Linked DNA regions of Schizosaccharomyces pombe. The gene in region 3 interacts genetically with the main gene of each other region. Each region holds a gene or a part of one and is shown on either strand. Other genes may lie near its edges. The genes, in order: ecl3, mak2 and prr1.

Evidence for each region.
Region 1: of prr1 (region 3) and ecl3, changing one suppresses a phenotype caused by changing the other (phenotypic suppression), as found in Schizosaccharomyces pombe (one study listed by BioGRID).
Region 2: mutations in prr1 (region 3) and mak2 impair growth when combined (synthetic growth defect), as found in Schizosaccharomyces pombe (one study listed by BioGRID).

What each region holds. Positions count from the first base shown.
Region 1 is NC_003423.3:4,439,682-4,444,655, reverse strand, and holds ecl3 (protein Ecl3), read left to right. Parts: upstream 1-2,828; 5' UTR 2,829-3,046; coding exon 3,047-3,316; downstream 3,317-4,974. Other genes in the region: pho84 (inorganic phosphate transporter), read right to left, coding at 1-404.
Region 2 is NC_003424.3:4,023,698-4,029,283, forward strand, and holds the start of mak2 (phosphorelay sensor kinase Mak2), read left to right. Parts: upstream 1-3,321; 5' UTR 3,322-3,416; coding exon 3,417-5,586. Other genes in the region: Tf2-6 (retrotransposable element/transposon Tf2-type), read left to right, coding at 1-2,796. UniProt on the Schizosaccharomyces pombe protein: Involved in the control of the SAPK-dependent transcriptional response to peroxide stress. Regulates sty1 activity.
Region 3 is NC_003424.3:3,662,596-3,668,181, reverse strand, and holds the start of prr1 (stress-responsive DNA-binding transcription factor Prr1), read right to left. Parts: upstream 2,251-5,586; 5' UTR 2,176-2,250; coding exon 2,146-2,175; intron 2,049-2,145; coding exon 1,959-2,048; intron 1,203-1,958; coding exon 1,123-1,202; intron 1,070-1,122; coding exon 1,012-1,069; intron 869-1,011; coding exon 1-868. UniProt on the Schizosaccharomyces pombe protein: Involved in oxidative stress. Transcription factor that acts upon trr1 and ctt1.

The DNA.
Region 1 (4,974 bases), on a different chromosome or scaffold from region 3:
ATGATAACAATAACCATTTCTTTACCGTAGACAAATTTACGGCCAAAGAAATCACCCATAAAACCAAATAACAGTTGTCCAAAAATGTTACCAATATTGGCTGACGCATTTACAAGACCACGAATACCAGAGGGATAATGGCCTTTTCCTGTGGGACCTTTTTCAATACCACCCCAATAAAGATATTCAAAAATGGGAGTAACTAAATTGATGATAAAAAGATCGTAACTGTCAAGGAAAAACCCGACACCTGCAAGCATCATAAGTTTAAATTCGCGCTTTGTCAACCCCAAGTAATAGCGACGCTCTTGCGCACCCTCTTCGACTTGGTCGAGAGGTACTGCATCGTCGTTATACTCATCAGACTTAGATCCAATGTTTAAAATTTTGCTCCCAAATGCCATCTTGTGATTTCCTTGCGTTCAAAATATGAGAGAAAAGGAAAGCAATGAATGATAAAGTAAGTCTTAATCGCTGCTTTATGCAAATTAATGAAGTCCGAATGCGGTTGCAATTAGAATTAAGAAAACTGAGTACCGGTGGTTTACACACACAGATAATTCAGTATGCAATGGAGCAATATATATAGTAAACTACCAGTTTGTCAGATTGGTGGCTTTGTTATAGAAAAAAAATTAATAATTAAGATCAAAAGCTTTGGTGTTGACGTTCCCTGGCAACCGGCACATTCACCACCTGCTTAATCTTATTTCAAAACAAAATAGCAAAACAGGAAGAAATCGGAAATGCAAAACACTATGTTTATAAGTAAACCGTCCAATTTGCTTTGTAACTGATATGAATCCAATAAGGAAATATAAAAAAATAGTAAAAAAATATTAACAATTAAAATTTTCTATTTCAGGATTAAGGTAACGCGGTGTTAGAAAACTGAGGGAAAGTAATGGGTCAATTTGGTTTAAGATTTGCACTTTAAAGTAAAAGAATTAGCACTAGCGGACAACTGCAAAAACAGACAATTATACTAAAGGGGTATCAGTTCATAAAAAAGTTGCAAAAGTGGTAATACCCTCGTTAGACCCACTCGGAAATCTTAAGTTAATAACGTTGACATTACTAATTGAGACAAAATTGTAGTTAAGAGACAAACTCATACTGCAGAGAACTCAATACGGTATGCATTCAAAATGAAATTTGCGAAAATAAAAATCAGTATGTCATTATACAATACAGAATTGGCCCAAGTAAAACACGGTTTAATCGTCGAGCTGTTTGGTTTTTTCAATTCCATGGAAAGCACGCGATGTCGTTGTTTTAAAACCAGTAATCGGCCGGTTTCAAAAGTATACATTCCAGAATACCACGGATTGATGCTGTGTAGCTCAATGCATGCCCACACACAGAACACCCGGATAAGTTGGTTCCGATATCCTCCAACCCGATAGGATGTTGGGTGATAAGATTTCTTTGACAAAATAGACATCAACAAAGCATGCATGCTTCCACTTCCATTAAACTCGGCGAACGGAAATGCCGCCATCCTACAAAATTCCCCTCACCTCTCCTATTGTCGGTCTTTGAAATTAACAACTACCAGGTACCGAGCAGAATGTTCTGCACGGAATTGACCTGACAACCGGCATCCGCACAAAACAGCCACTTCAGCAATTTCGGTTCCAAGTATGTTCCATTCATGCACGTAAACCGTAGTTTATTTTAGGAACCTCAGTTTACCGAACGCTAAAATTTATTAGGCAGCATATACTGCCGAAGCAAAAAGATGAACGGATACGAGGATTTTACCGCCCGCCACCCTTCAACAAGTGTAATGGATATAAGATGATTTGATAGTATTCGAAAATTTTTGAATTTTCGTGTCGAGTAGCAAATTCCATTGTTTTACATTCTTGCTATCTAATTAAAAGCAACGATGAGTTAATCTTTCGTGCATTATTCTAGTTCGACAAAACGCAGAATAATTTTCAAGAAAAGACCGTGGAAACTAATTAATTATTATAAGGACAGATGTCGATATTAATAAATTTCAATTTCTAACGATTTTCATAGTTTAATTTGTTATGAATTAATTCTATCTCATCCTCTATGACTTATTTCGTTCTATTTCATACTACCAATGCGTTTAAATTAAAATTAAAAATTTGAATAGTTAGGTACTCAGGCTTCTTATATAGCTATTGATGCAGTGTGTGACGTCATTTTTTTAAATTGAAAAAGGGGGTTTTTGACAGGGTAAGATTGTGTACCGTTCGGTATGCAAACTGAACTGGAAGATTGGAAAAATTAAACCCTTTTCTGAAAATAATAGGAATTAAGTTAGGATAGTCGAAACAATTTCTTCCATATAACTATCGTGATCAGTCAAGGGCAGTTTACTAATTTATTTCCAGCGTCGTATATTGCCGAATTCACACGCATTTTACTCACATCGTTCGAAGATAAAAAAAATATAAATAATAAAAATTGAAATTCGTGTAAGCGAAAAGGAATGTGTGAGAAGGATTTTGGACTGTTCTATTCTCATGGGAATGTGAAGTAACTACTCTCTTGCTACCATAGTTGCTTGTTGTGACTTGACATCGTATAAGTGACTGTAAATTAGATGCCGGCTCCATGTCGCACAATAAACCTTTTGAGAGAAAATAAATTATGACATTCCTAAGACTCGGCAATTTTGATTTGTTATTTTTTTTTATTCTCTCAACATTTCCCTAGATTCACAGTCGAGAATGATACGTTGATACACATCCTTTCACGGTAATCTGCAATCCCTGTTTATGGTTTTACATCGTCCTTCGTAATTCTTGTCTTTCTTATATATATATGGAGGAGTGCGTTTGAGATACGCCAGGACTCTAGAGAATTCTTCTCTTTCATTTATCTACGATAAAGTCTTCGTTTCTCCTCTCATTCTTTCACTAGAATAGAGAAAAAGAAGGACAATTGCAAAAGCTCTTTTTATAATTCAATCTTCCTTCTCAATTTTTTTTTCTATTTTCAAGCAAACCAACGGATTTTGACGTTCGTCTTTTCGTTATCTTTCAAAGTTAGCTATTTTAAAGAAAAAATGGATTTAAACTTATGTTTGCTATGTGGTAACTCCATCGATGCCGAAGGATTGTATTGCTCAAATGAATGTCGAATTCAGGATAAAGCTACGACAGAGCTGTTTTCTGATCCCTTGAAGTCGCCTTCTCTCAACGAGACAATAGACTACCTTGCTTTGAATTACTTTGATCTTTTCAGCAGACGATCTTCAATGTGCTCTTCGTCGAATTCCTCAATTTATTCTGGGATATATTATACCGAATTGAAGAATTATAGTGTTGAGAATTAGAAAATTTTTTACCTTTAATGTTTTTTCTACTCTTTGAAGCATTTCTCTTCTATTTGATCGAGCTACATAAATTATCGGTTTTGAGGCTATTGGAAGTTAGTATCAAATAAAATTTGGTATAGTTTGGATTTCCCTAATCATTTTTTCATTTTCGGCTTCATTTGTTTTTTACATTCTCTTTCTTAGTTACTTACCTACAGTTCTTTCGCGTTTCCTCGGATTTTTTTTCTTTTCTTTTATCACCCTCACTAATTGCATTATTTATCTTTAATTTTCTTTTGAAATTAAAAAAAAAAGAGGGTCTACTTTAATTTTTTTTTCTTCAATCCTGAGCTCATTTAGCATCACTTTAGAATGTTTCATAATGATATTAAGGGATATCCATTTAAATATATTACGGAGCTTGTCACTCTACCCTTGAGTCTATCTTAAAAAAATACATTTACAGAATCATTTGTTTACGATAACATTATTGATATTCATTTATACATTTAAAGCTTTTTTTTTTATTAAAAAGCATTTTCTTTATATTAATAGGACTAACGTCAATTTCCTTTCATTTGCATACATTCGGCAATAATGACTAGCAATTAACACCAATGCTAGAACGATCTTTTTTGTTTTATTATAGTGTGCCTAATTTTCTTTATTTTTCGTTATTTGTGGCTGCATTTTTTATTTATTTATTTATTTATTTATTTACATCTTGTCATTTAGTTAAAAATTTAATGAACTATTTTTGTTTAACTAATATTAATTTGTCATTTCATCTTTTCTTTATACATCTTATTTTACTGAATCAGAGTTATTTGAATTAAATAATAATTAATTTCGCTTCTCGTTTTCTATGCACCATACAACTAGTAAAGATTTATTAAAGATTTTTTATATACTAAACTTTTAAAAATGTGTACAAAAAGTGGGACGTGTAGATGTCACTGATTTGGATTTTTTCTGTAAATTAGCTTCGGCAAATTTATTAGAATAAGAACAGTAAAAAAAAAATAAAGATTGGAATGTGCTTAAGATTTTTCTCAAGAAGTGTAAATGCTACGAATTCAATAATTATAATAAATTTGTAAATAATATAAAGAATCACAAATGCAGAATTACCATATCATTGATGTCTACATGAGTTAAGACCTTGGCGAGTTTAATAGTACATGAACATCATAAAAAATTTCAAAAATAAACTTAATATTGCCACAGGATGGAGATTTAGTATCCCATTTGTTTAGTATCCTGCTAGCTCATCCATAACTGGAAAATTAGGAAATAAACAACGAAATACTGTTTATAATCAATGAATATTCAAGGAAAAACAACCAACCAAAATTTACAGCATAATAATTAACGACGAAAAGATGGAAATACCGTAACGATGCGCAAACCTCCATACTGAAGTTGTAAATGAATCAGTCAACCGTTGGAAACAGCGTAGTTCATATTCTAAAGTGTGGTAGCGAATATCTTTCTTAGTATTTCTAGCTGCCGAGAGATCTACCAACGAACTCTAGGTCTCCGCAAAATTTGACAAGAGTGGTACTCGGCCTGGATAACTTTATGTTCAGAAGAAAGATCATCGTCATGGCATATGATTATCAAAAATTCCCCGTGTTTAAGTATCACAACTCAGATAACAATACCAAGGAGAATAG
Region 2 (5,586 bases), 360 kb from region 3:
GAAGTTGAACTAACTCAAGAAAACTACAGATTACCTATCAGAAATTACCCGCTACCACCGGGAAAAATGCAAGCTATGAATGATGAAATTAATCAAGGATTAAAAAGTGGAATTATACGAGAATCTAAAGCCATTAACGCCTGTCCAGTAATGTTCGTTCCGAAAAAGGAAGGCACCTTGAGAATGGTGGTTGACTACAAACCTTTAAATAAGTATGTCAAACCCAATATATATCCGTTACCACTTATTGAACAATTACTTGCTAAAATACAAGGTTCTACAATTTTTACTAAACTTGACCTCAAAAGTGCCTATCACTTGATACGAGTAAGAAAAGGAGATGAACATAAACTTGCTTTTCGCTGTCCTCGTGGAGTTTTTGAATATCTAGTAATGCCTTATGGCATATCTACAGCTCCAGCACATTTTCAATACTTTATCAATACAATACTTGGTGAAGCCAAAGAATCACATGTAGTATGTTATATGGATGATATTTTAATTCATTCAAAATCGGAATCTGAACATGTAAAACATGTTAAAGACGTTCTACAGAAATTGAAAAATGCGAACTTAATTATCAATCAAGCAAAATGTGAATTTCACCAATCACAAGTAAAATTTATAGGGTATCACATTTCGGAAAAAGGATTTACGCCTTGTCAAGAAAATATAGACAAAGTCTTACAATGGAAGCAACCTAAGAATCGTAAAGAATTACGACAATTTCTAGGTTCTGTCAATTATCTTAGGAAATTCATTCCAAAGACATCACAATTAACACATCCACTCAATAATCTTTTGAAAAAGGATGTACGCTGGAAATGGACACCAACACAAACCCAAGCGATAGAAAACATTAAACAATGTTTAGTTTCTCCTCCGGTGCTACGACACTTTGATTTCAGTAAAAAGATTCTACTGGAAACTGATGCTTCAGATGTCGCTGTAGGAGCCGTATTGTCTCAAAAACATGATGATGATAAATACTATCCTGTTGGATACTATTCAGCAAAGATGTCTAAAGCACAATTAAATTATAGCGTATCGGACAAAGAAATGCTTGCAATCATTAAGTCTCTCAAACATTGGAGACACTATTTAGAATCCACTATCGAACCTTTCAAAATTTTAACAGACCATCGAAACTTAATTGGTCGCATTACTAACGAATCCGAGCCTGAAAACAAACGTTTAGCTCGTTGGCAATTATTTTTACAAGACTTCAACTTTGAAATTAACTACAGACCTGGATCAGCAAATCACATAGCTGATGCCTTATCCAGAATTGTTGACGAAACAGAACCAATTCCAAAAGATTCAGAAGACAATAGTATCAACTTTGTTAATCAAATCTCGATAACCGATGATTTTAAAAACCAAGTGGTTACAGAATATACGAATGATACAAAATTGTTGAATTTACTAAACAATGAAGACAAACGAGTGGAAGAGAATATCCAACTCAAAGATGGCTTACTAATTAACAGTAAAGACCAAATCTTATTACCTAATGATACTCAGCTGACTAGGACAATTATTAAAAAGTATCATGAAGAAGGTAAATTGATTCATCCAGGCATTGAACTTCTTACAAACATTATATTACGTAGATTTACGTGGAAAGGAATAAGAAAACAAATACAAGAATATGTACAGAACTGCCATACATGTCAAATAAACAAATCTAGGAATCATAAACCTTATGGACCTTTACAACCAATTCCCCCATCAGAAAGACCTTGGGAATCTTTATCAATGGATTTTATTACAGCTTTACCAGAATCATCTGGTTATAATGCACTTTTCGTGGTAGTTGACCGATTTTCAAAAATGGCAATCTTAGTACCTTGTACGAAATCCATTACAGCAGAGCAAACAGCTCGAATGTTTGATCAACGAGTTATTGCTTATTTCGGCAATCCAAAAGAAATCATTGCAGATAATGATCATATTTTTACTTCCCAAACGTGGAAAGATTTCGCACATAAATATAATTTCGTTATGAAATTTTCGTTACCATACAGACCACAAACTGATGGACAAACTGAGCGTACAAACCAAACTGTGGAGAAATTACTAAGATGTGTATGTAGCACACATCCAAATACATGGGTAGATCATATATCCCTAGTGCAACAATCTTACAACAATGCGATACATTCAGCAACTCAAATGACACCTTTTGAGATAGTACATCGCTATTCACCAGCTTTATCACCTTTAGAGTTACCTAGCTTTAGTGACAAAACTGACGAAAACTCTCAGGAAACGATCCAAGTATTTCAAACAGTTAAAGAACACTTGAATACAAACAACATAAAGATGAAAAAGTATTTCGATATGAAAATACAAGAAATTGAAGAATTTCAACCTGGAGACCTAGTTATGGTCAAAAGAACGAAAACAGGTTTTCTTCATAAATCCAATAAATTAGCACCTAGTTTTGCAGGACCGTTCTATGTGTTACAGAAGTCGGGTCCAAACAACTATGAATTGGATCTTCCAGATTCAATCAAGCACATGTTTTCATCTACTTTTCATGTTTCTCACCTAGAAAAGTATCGACATAATTCAGAACTCAATTACGCTACCATTGATGAGTCTGATATTGGAACAATTCTTCATATCCTAGAACATAAAAACAGAGAACAAGTACTCTACTTAAATGTCAAGTACATTTCGAATCTAAATCCGAGTACTATTATGTCAGGATGGACTACATTAGCTACAGCGCTACAAGCGGACAAAGCAATTGTCAATGATTATATTAAAAACAATAATCTAAATATCTGAGAACATATGACTTATCCTCAGATTTACATAGAAAATCTTGGGGAGGGCAATGTCAGCAATACTACACTACGCTATAATACACTACGTTGAGTATCACTATATGTCACATGTTCTAATTATATATCGTACCATGTATGATACGATATGGAGATTGATCTTAATGATAATCTATTAAGATCAATATTATCTGAATACTATAAATAGAGCTACTGCTGAACCTCGTTCCTCAGTTCAGTTATGAGCTATATTAGTGATAGGTAACATTATAACCCAGTTAATACAATACCTATACTCAGTTGCTACTTATACAACCTGTGTATCGTAATATAATAGATCACAAGGAAAACTCACCGCAGTTCTACGTATCCTTAAATCAGATACCAAACTGCGTAGCTTACATTTTAAAATCAATAAGAAGCATACCACATTTTTTGTTAAATGGTATAAGGATACCCTCTGTCATGCTAATTGGTGACGGCAAATTCTAAAGTTAACAATAAATCCACCCCTTCAACTTCTCATTTTATACTATATTCTAAATATTAATTATTTACAGTTTAACATGTCGTATTAAGGATAATTATTGATTTTATTTTTATTTTTTTTAGTTCAAATTCTCAATGAGCTTGTACAAGTCATTGGACGTTGCAATTGATTATGCAATTTCTCAGTTGGGAGAGTTCCAGTTCCAACCAATTCGTACGCAATCGAACCCTTCTTCTCTTCTTTCTGCGTGCTTGGTGCGTGCCGTCCATGTAGAAACAAGGCGAAAAGTAATTTTTAAGTTTTCCCAACAAACTTTCAAGCTAGAGAATGAATACTTTTTGTTGCGTCAGTTGTCATCTCATCCAAATGGAAGAAATTATGCTATTGCTCCCGCATATATATTACTGTTGAACGAAACCTTAGGTGCGCTTATTTACGATGATCCTGGGCCTAACATTCTGGATGAGTGGTTAGGGAATCCTAACCCTTTGGATCTAAAATTATTTCTCAAGTTTGCCCTTGGCGTTTCTTACGTCTTATGTTTTTTACATGAAAAAAAAATCGTGCATGGCGAAATTCGTCTTGACACTTTCCATTATGATTTGAATGCCCCTATTCATGCAAAGTTGCTTACCATCGGGAGTAGCGTATCCCCTATCAGATTTACCTTGTCTTCCTTAAACTGGAAGCGTCTTTATCAAGTCCAGAATATATGTCACAAACTTCAGTTTTTTAGTCCTGAACAAATTGGAAATGTGGGGCGACCGTTAGATTCCAGGTCCGATATCTATTCTTTGGGTATTCTTTTTTATGTTATCTTGACCAAGCAATATCCCTGGGGTGGGCAATCTATGAGAATTGTTCAATCGATTCATATGAGACAGTTTCCTTCTGTATTGCCTCGTCGTCCTGATGCCTTTCCAGCGCTTGATCAATTGATTCAAAAAATGACTGCCAAGTCTATGAACTCAAGAATTTCTTCTGCTACCGATTTGTGTTATACGATTGTTGAGTTAATGCAAGAATTTTCTACAATCACCTCTTCTCCTTTGCTGGACCAAAAATTGTTATCTATAAATAAACCACAGCAAGAAAAGCTTAAGTTTCCTAAATTACTATTGACCAATTCTTCAGATTACGTCCGGATCTTCCACGAGCTTGTAGCTTTTTCTTCAAAACGCGATCTTCTAACGAGTGCTAAGCGTGTTGATAAACTTCCAAAGCAACACCTTTTCAAATATCGTCCAGTAGATAATGAGGCTACATATTGCCAAGTTGTTACAGTTACCGGTGAGAAGGGCTCTGGAAAAAGTAATTTGCTTAATGCTGTCGCCGATGAAGCAAGAAAATTTGGATATTTTGCAATGAGCTCTTTTAAAGGTCATCATTTTTCTCCATATTCTGCCATTTTTAAATGTGTCTCTTTAATTATGCAACAGACTCTTCGTGAAGAAAAACAGCTAGTTACTGATTACTTTACATCGCTGTGGGAATTTCTTGGATTTCAATTGATTTACATGGGAGAACTATTTGAATATGTTCCAGAATTAAACTCGCTACTATCTCCGAAATATAATCTACATTGCAAAAGAGAAAACTATTTCAAGTTAAAAAAGAGAGATCCCCAACAATTCCGCAGTGCAAGCGGTCGTTTAGGATTTATGGTTTGTCTTCTAGAAATACTAAGCTTCACTTCCAGAGTTCGACCTGTCATTATAATATTGGATGAATTACATTTGGCTGATCATCCTTCGCTCTCTTTGATAATTGGCATGATTTCTCATAGACTTCCTATCTTACTAATTTTGGCTTGGGATGAACCTGTGATGTTTAAAGATTTTTCGAAATGTCTTCATGAGGCCCCATATGCGATGGTCACTGATATTAGAATGAACCTTTTTGATCGTAAAAATATAACTGAATTTTTAGATAGCACTTTAGAGTCTCCAACTCAAGCTTTGGGTCCGTTAGTGCTATTGATGCAAAAGCTTAGTAAGGGAAATCCGTTGGTGCTAAAAAGTCTTCTACTCATTGCCTTTGCTAATAATGGCTTTGCCTTTCATCCAAAATCCTCTTCTTGGACTTATGATCTGCCTGTTATCAACCGAAGCTTTGAAGCTCTTTCTTCTTATGATATACCACCATTACTGGCATCATTGTTGGATGCTTTACTCCCTGCCAGATGTATTGAGTTTCTTTTATGGGCTGCATTGTTGGTCGAGCCGTTTCCGTTTGAATTGCTTCGATTAATTACCACATCAATGCATTTGTTTATCCCAAAAGAAGAGATATTGGATTTTCCTC
Region 3 (5,586 bases):
CATCTTCGACAAGTAAAATCCTTGGTTGCCGCTTCCACAAGCCAGTAGTTGGAACAGCAGCGCCCATTTGAGACATGGACGTTGCTACTGAACTAGCTTTGGCAAGGGAATCGTTTGAAATTTGAGAAAATGACTTTGCCATGGAAGCATTGGAGTCAAGATGGGTGGTAAAGCTTCCTGGATTTGGATGCTGAATCGGTTGAAATTTTTCGTACATCGGATATGAGCCATGGGCGTGTGGATTCAAAGAATGGTCATTAGATGATAAAGGGGTATTTAGAGAGGCGGCAGAGGCCATGGAGTCTGCCGGCTTTTCCTGATTTGCCAGTTCATAATCAGATGAAGGAGTATTATACAAAGAAGGTTGTGCTGTGCCAAGATTGGTGTCAACAGTCATCTTTGAAGAAGCGGTAGTAGCAGCGGAAGCCTGTTGAATTTGATTTGGTATCTGTTGTGGAGAAGTAGTTGCAACTTGGCCCTTCGCTAACGCTTGGTATGCATTTAATAACTCCTGGAGAGGATGAGAGGGAACAAACATGGCTCCGGGATTAGCTTGCCGTTGAGTAGATCCCTCTAAATCGCAGAGGTAAGATATGATGCTACTCATAAGCAAATCTCTAGACTCAATCCCCCGCTTGAGTTCAAACATTTTAAGAAGTATCGTTTGGTAACTTGTGGCAAGACCCGAAAGATTTCTATCAAGTAATTTTTGAAAGTCTAATATAGAATCCACCTGCTGTTTTAGGTTTTCAATAACTGGAGCAGTGTTCTCGTTAGCTAAATTGCGCTTGGACGGAGCCTTTCGCTTAATATTGTCGAGCAGGTCCTTATGATGAAGCTGAAAGTCGTCATGACGAAACTCCCAAGCCTAAAGAAGAGAATGATTAGTATAATAGAAATTCTAAAAGGAGGGATGGCTTTTTTACAAGTATGATGGAATGAAGACAAGTTTGTTTCTCAAACCTATTCAACAAGTATGAAGCCCCTAAATCCTTAACCCATATGACATACCCCTTCACCATATATACTCGGCGCGCCTTCTTCGTGCCGTACTTTGTGAAAATCATATCTAGACGATTAGCAAGTGTAAAAAAAAAATAAATAAATAAAAATATCTCATACTTGTTGAGTTGTCGGACAAAACTTGCAAAGTTACTATGTTTGAAGTGGCGAGGCAGAATGGTCTTTGTAAACTCGTTGGTCTAAAAAGCAGTAAGTTAGTGATAAACTCAGGGAAACAAAGGGGAAAGGGGAAAAAGGAATTTTGAATGCGGAAAAGTAGATTAGAGTGACAAAGAAAGGAGAAAAATGCAAACGTAAGAGAAAAAAAAACATAAGACTAGAAGAATAGCTAGTCAAAAGCCAAAGTTTAAAAAGAAGGTAAGGCCTAAAAATAAAATTGGTCTCTAAGAGATGTAAAAACTATTACTCAAAAAAGATGATGACAAGGAATAAGTCTGTTCGAAAAAATCGAGATGCAATGCGAAAAAAAAGGACAAAGTACTAGGGTATGGAAACAAAGCAAATTCGACGACTCAGGTTTACGGGCAAACTGGACGTTTTTCAGCGTAACATTGGTAATACTAAAAAGAAAACAACGAATAGAATTGTTTTATTTCAAAAAGAAAAGCGATTTTTGTAATAAAACAACCCGATTGTTGCGATAGGAATCTCTTGCTGCCTCAAAAGATTCCTTTCCCATCATTGTCAATCCTTTTTAATTCAAGTTGTAATCAGAAAGAAAAAGGAAACAAATCAAGAATAGTAAAAAAATTATTTTTTAGCAAACCTTCAAAAAAAATCTCCCCTCTTTTACTAGCTTTTCGAGGATAAACAATAAAAGTAGAATGCTTTCTCTGGTTAAATAACAACAATGGCGGCGATAAATATAATGATAACTCATTCTTCCTTTCTTCTCTCTTTTACATCCAGCAAACAAATTTTCAAGGATTTCTTACATCCAACACAATAAAAGAATCCCCAGAATCGCTCCAGCGCAGGATATGCCTATATTCGGGTTCTTCCAACATGTTGAAGAGTTTTCGCACCTAATTCAACAACGTTAGTATGAGAAAACATAGTTTTATCACGAAACGTGAAATTTTATAATTATAAAAAATTCATCGGAAAAAGGAACCAACATACAAAGTCGGAGGATCCGTTCGAAGACGGCATCTTCTCGTTTAATATATGACCAAACGGTCGTATTTACAAAAAATCTTCACCTTTTCAACAATGTTGTTGGTTGTTGGAGAGTTGCAAATTTTGAGGTGTGGTGGATATGACACCCTCGAGGCTTCCATGTGGCTATTTGCCGATGCTCACAAGGGCGTGTTAGCTTACGCAACGTTGGTTAAACGATGAACGGCAGGAGATCGGCAATGCAAATTCGACATATTTTTTAACGTTAATTGCAGCAAAAACTTCTCAATTAATGAACCCTCAAAAACAATGCGAAACCCGCATATTACTGTCTTTTTCACTACCCTCCAGAAAAGGGATCTTTCGTACTGATCTCTCTCCTTTACGGTGCTTGATTTGACTTGATGATGCTGTTCACCGATTGCGAAACGTTGCAAAGTTAAATCTAGTATAGTGCATACCATCGTACTGCATTATCCCAAACTCTTCCTGAACCGGCTAAAGCGCGCGGGGCTCCCTAGGCAGTCATCATCGCAGACGTAACGACCGTCCCACATACGTTTGTGCAAGCGTGCTGTGGGCACAGCAAGAATAAACACATGGGATGGATGACACAGTAATAAGGCTGAGTTGCTGCGGTTCTTGGTAGTGTATCGATGGTGCATGCGTGGAGTATGTAGAGCAAAAGGATCACTATGCGATATTTCCTTGGTATAAACGCTGACACGGGATTTTTTAAAAAGCATTTTTTTTTCGATCGTTTACGTTTCCTTTATTTTTTTTATTGGAATCCACTGTGCAATATGCTCGTTGAACCATTCAGAAAAGAGATGCTCTTTATGCATTCAACACAATTGACCTTGCTATAAGAATATCCAGCAGACGCTCTTACTTTGAATGCTCAAGTGTGTGTGCTGCGGTCTACCTTTGTGTACAGTAGTTTCAACGTTAAAGGACAAGTGATTAGCTATGGGAGCTTATCGCATATTATAAAAATGCATTGGAATTTGGGAATACACACCCAACTTTGTGTACCCACTACACCTTGCAGTGGATGATGATTTTTTTGTCAACATCGTGTGATGCCGGACCAGACAAAACTTTTGACGCATACAGATCGACCAGCAAAAGCGGAAATTGCCTGTTAAAAAGCACCGAATGACAAAGTTTGAATAAACGACGCCAGGACATTGATGGACGAGTCCCTTTTTCTATGAAAAGGAAAGCGAAATAAACCGATTCCTCACTTGCTGATTGTACTCAATTAAACGAGGCTTTTACATTATCAACAAAGGGAAACAAAATAAGAATTGAGAAAGAAAAAGAAGTCCCCTGATTCATTAGAAATGACCCCTGATCCCTTGGCTCGGTTTTCGAACAAGAGAATAGATACATGTTATGCTTATTTGAAATGCTTCATAAGATTATATAAACGAAATAAATATTCTCATAGAATCCCATTATAAAGTATTCATCCTTAGAATACGTAGTTATTGGATTAGAAGACAATGTATTGATTCGTTAAATATCTTTTGCATCAAAAAATTTCTCCGCTCGTAAAATTATAAAAAAGATGGCGAGCGATACGATAAGTGCAGAGATAAGGGTATGACGCTATTAGTGCTGACTCAGCTCCGCGGTTTATTATTACACTGGCAATAGCAATAGCAATAGCAATAGCATTACATCCATGACAGATTTAACATAGCAAGGATAAGGGGTGCCCTAAAAGTAATTTAGATATTGCATCGTTTTTCGTTAATGCAAATAGTAAAATATAATTAATTTACATTAAAGAAATAACAGCAACATCTTTTTTACTTTAAAAGTAATAACAAAACTGCACTTCCATTTTTAAAAGCAATAAGAAATGTTTGCGAAATCCCCTATTCATGGGATGAACGCGTCGACTAGTCCAGTCAATAAGTCAAACGACACACACTTGCAATATCTTTTAGCAAACATGATCTGTTGCACATTCCTAGCATTTGTCTTGAATTTCCCATCTGGGTAGGAAGACTTGGCTTCAAGATTTTTTTCCATTTCACAAGGCGTAACTAATGAAGTAGAAAAAAGGCATTTTCAAACGCGTATCCATCCCATCCATCCTCTCTAAAACTTGCATTTTTAAAAGTTTCTCAATTGTGTATTCACACTATAGCAATAGCAAATGGGGGAAGCTTTTTCCATTTATTATGCTTAAACTAGTAGCACAAGTTTTCATTTTATTAACCCATACTGAAAAGCGCGCTCTCTTCATCTAGTAAATACGTGCCCTTCACAACCTTCCATTAATTTAATCCAAGGGCTCGCTTGAACCCTTCCCATTGGTCTACTTTGTCGACCGATTTCGTTAACTGAGATTAATGTGCTTTAATTATACACTGTTATTTGCACATTCGGAACTGAATACGCCAAGTGCCGTTCGATTCGCTATCGTACCTACATCTTGTGCTCACTTATTGCACGGTACCTCGTTTAAGCGATTCGAGGCATTTAGGCTCACTTCTGCTGCATATTGGCCAATATCTTCGCCTTTTCAGCTTTAAAGTGTAACTATTTTCTCATCCAATCAGTTATCTGATCGCTATCTGATTTTTACCCCGATTGGTCGATTGTGCATCTAGGAGTTTTCATTTGTCAAAGGTCAATGTGGAAAAATCTAATCTGATAAAATTTTTTCATCTTTAAGATTACCCACGCTTATACAATAACCGCGTTCTCTCACATTACTCTCTACCCTGATACTGGCTGACATCTCAACCCAAATATTCGGTTGAGTTAGTTTCTTTCTTCCCCCTTCAGTCTTTCCCCTATCCGTAGACCGTCGACTTGTTAATCCTTTTCAGTTTGAAATTTCCTAGCAGATTCGTATCACTAGTTCAATTCTGAAGCCTGTTTGGGTTTTTATATGAATAAGACCCTCATACTGAGTAACAAGCCGTTTTCTTTCTAGACTATACAAGTATACCTTTGCTTACACGTCTCCCCTACTTTTGTTTATTTTGTCTAGGCCTGTTGCGTGGAAATTCTACATATTTCTTCTTAATTATTCGTAAATACAAACTCTTGTTTTTTTTCTATCTCCCCCTTATCGGTGTGTGTAAAAAAAAAAATCAGCTAGCTGTCGACGCAGCTGAGTTTTCATATACCTTTTCTTTTCTTTTTTTATTTTTTTTTATTTTTTCAAGTCAAAGCAAATATAGTCAAGGATATTCAGAGGTATAGGACACAAGGCACTTTGCTCTTTGTCATTGCTTTCTATTTTGTCAAATCAACAGCCAAGTCATCATTCAAACTTCATTTGGCTGCAAACCTTAAAATTCATTCTTGGTGTCTTCATACATTGAGTTTTGTTTTTTTTAAACCATTTCTCATTCCTTTTTCGTCAATATATCCTAACTAATCTTCTGGGGTCATTGCGTCTGGTTTCTTGTGTGTGTT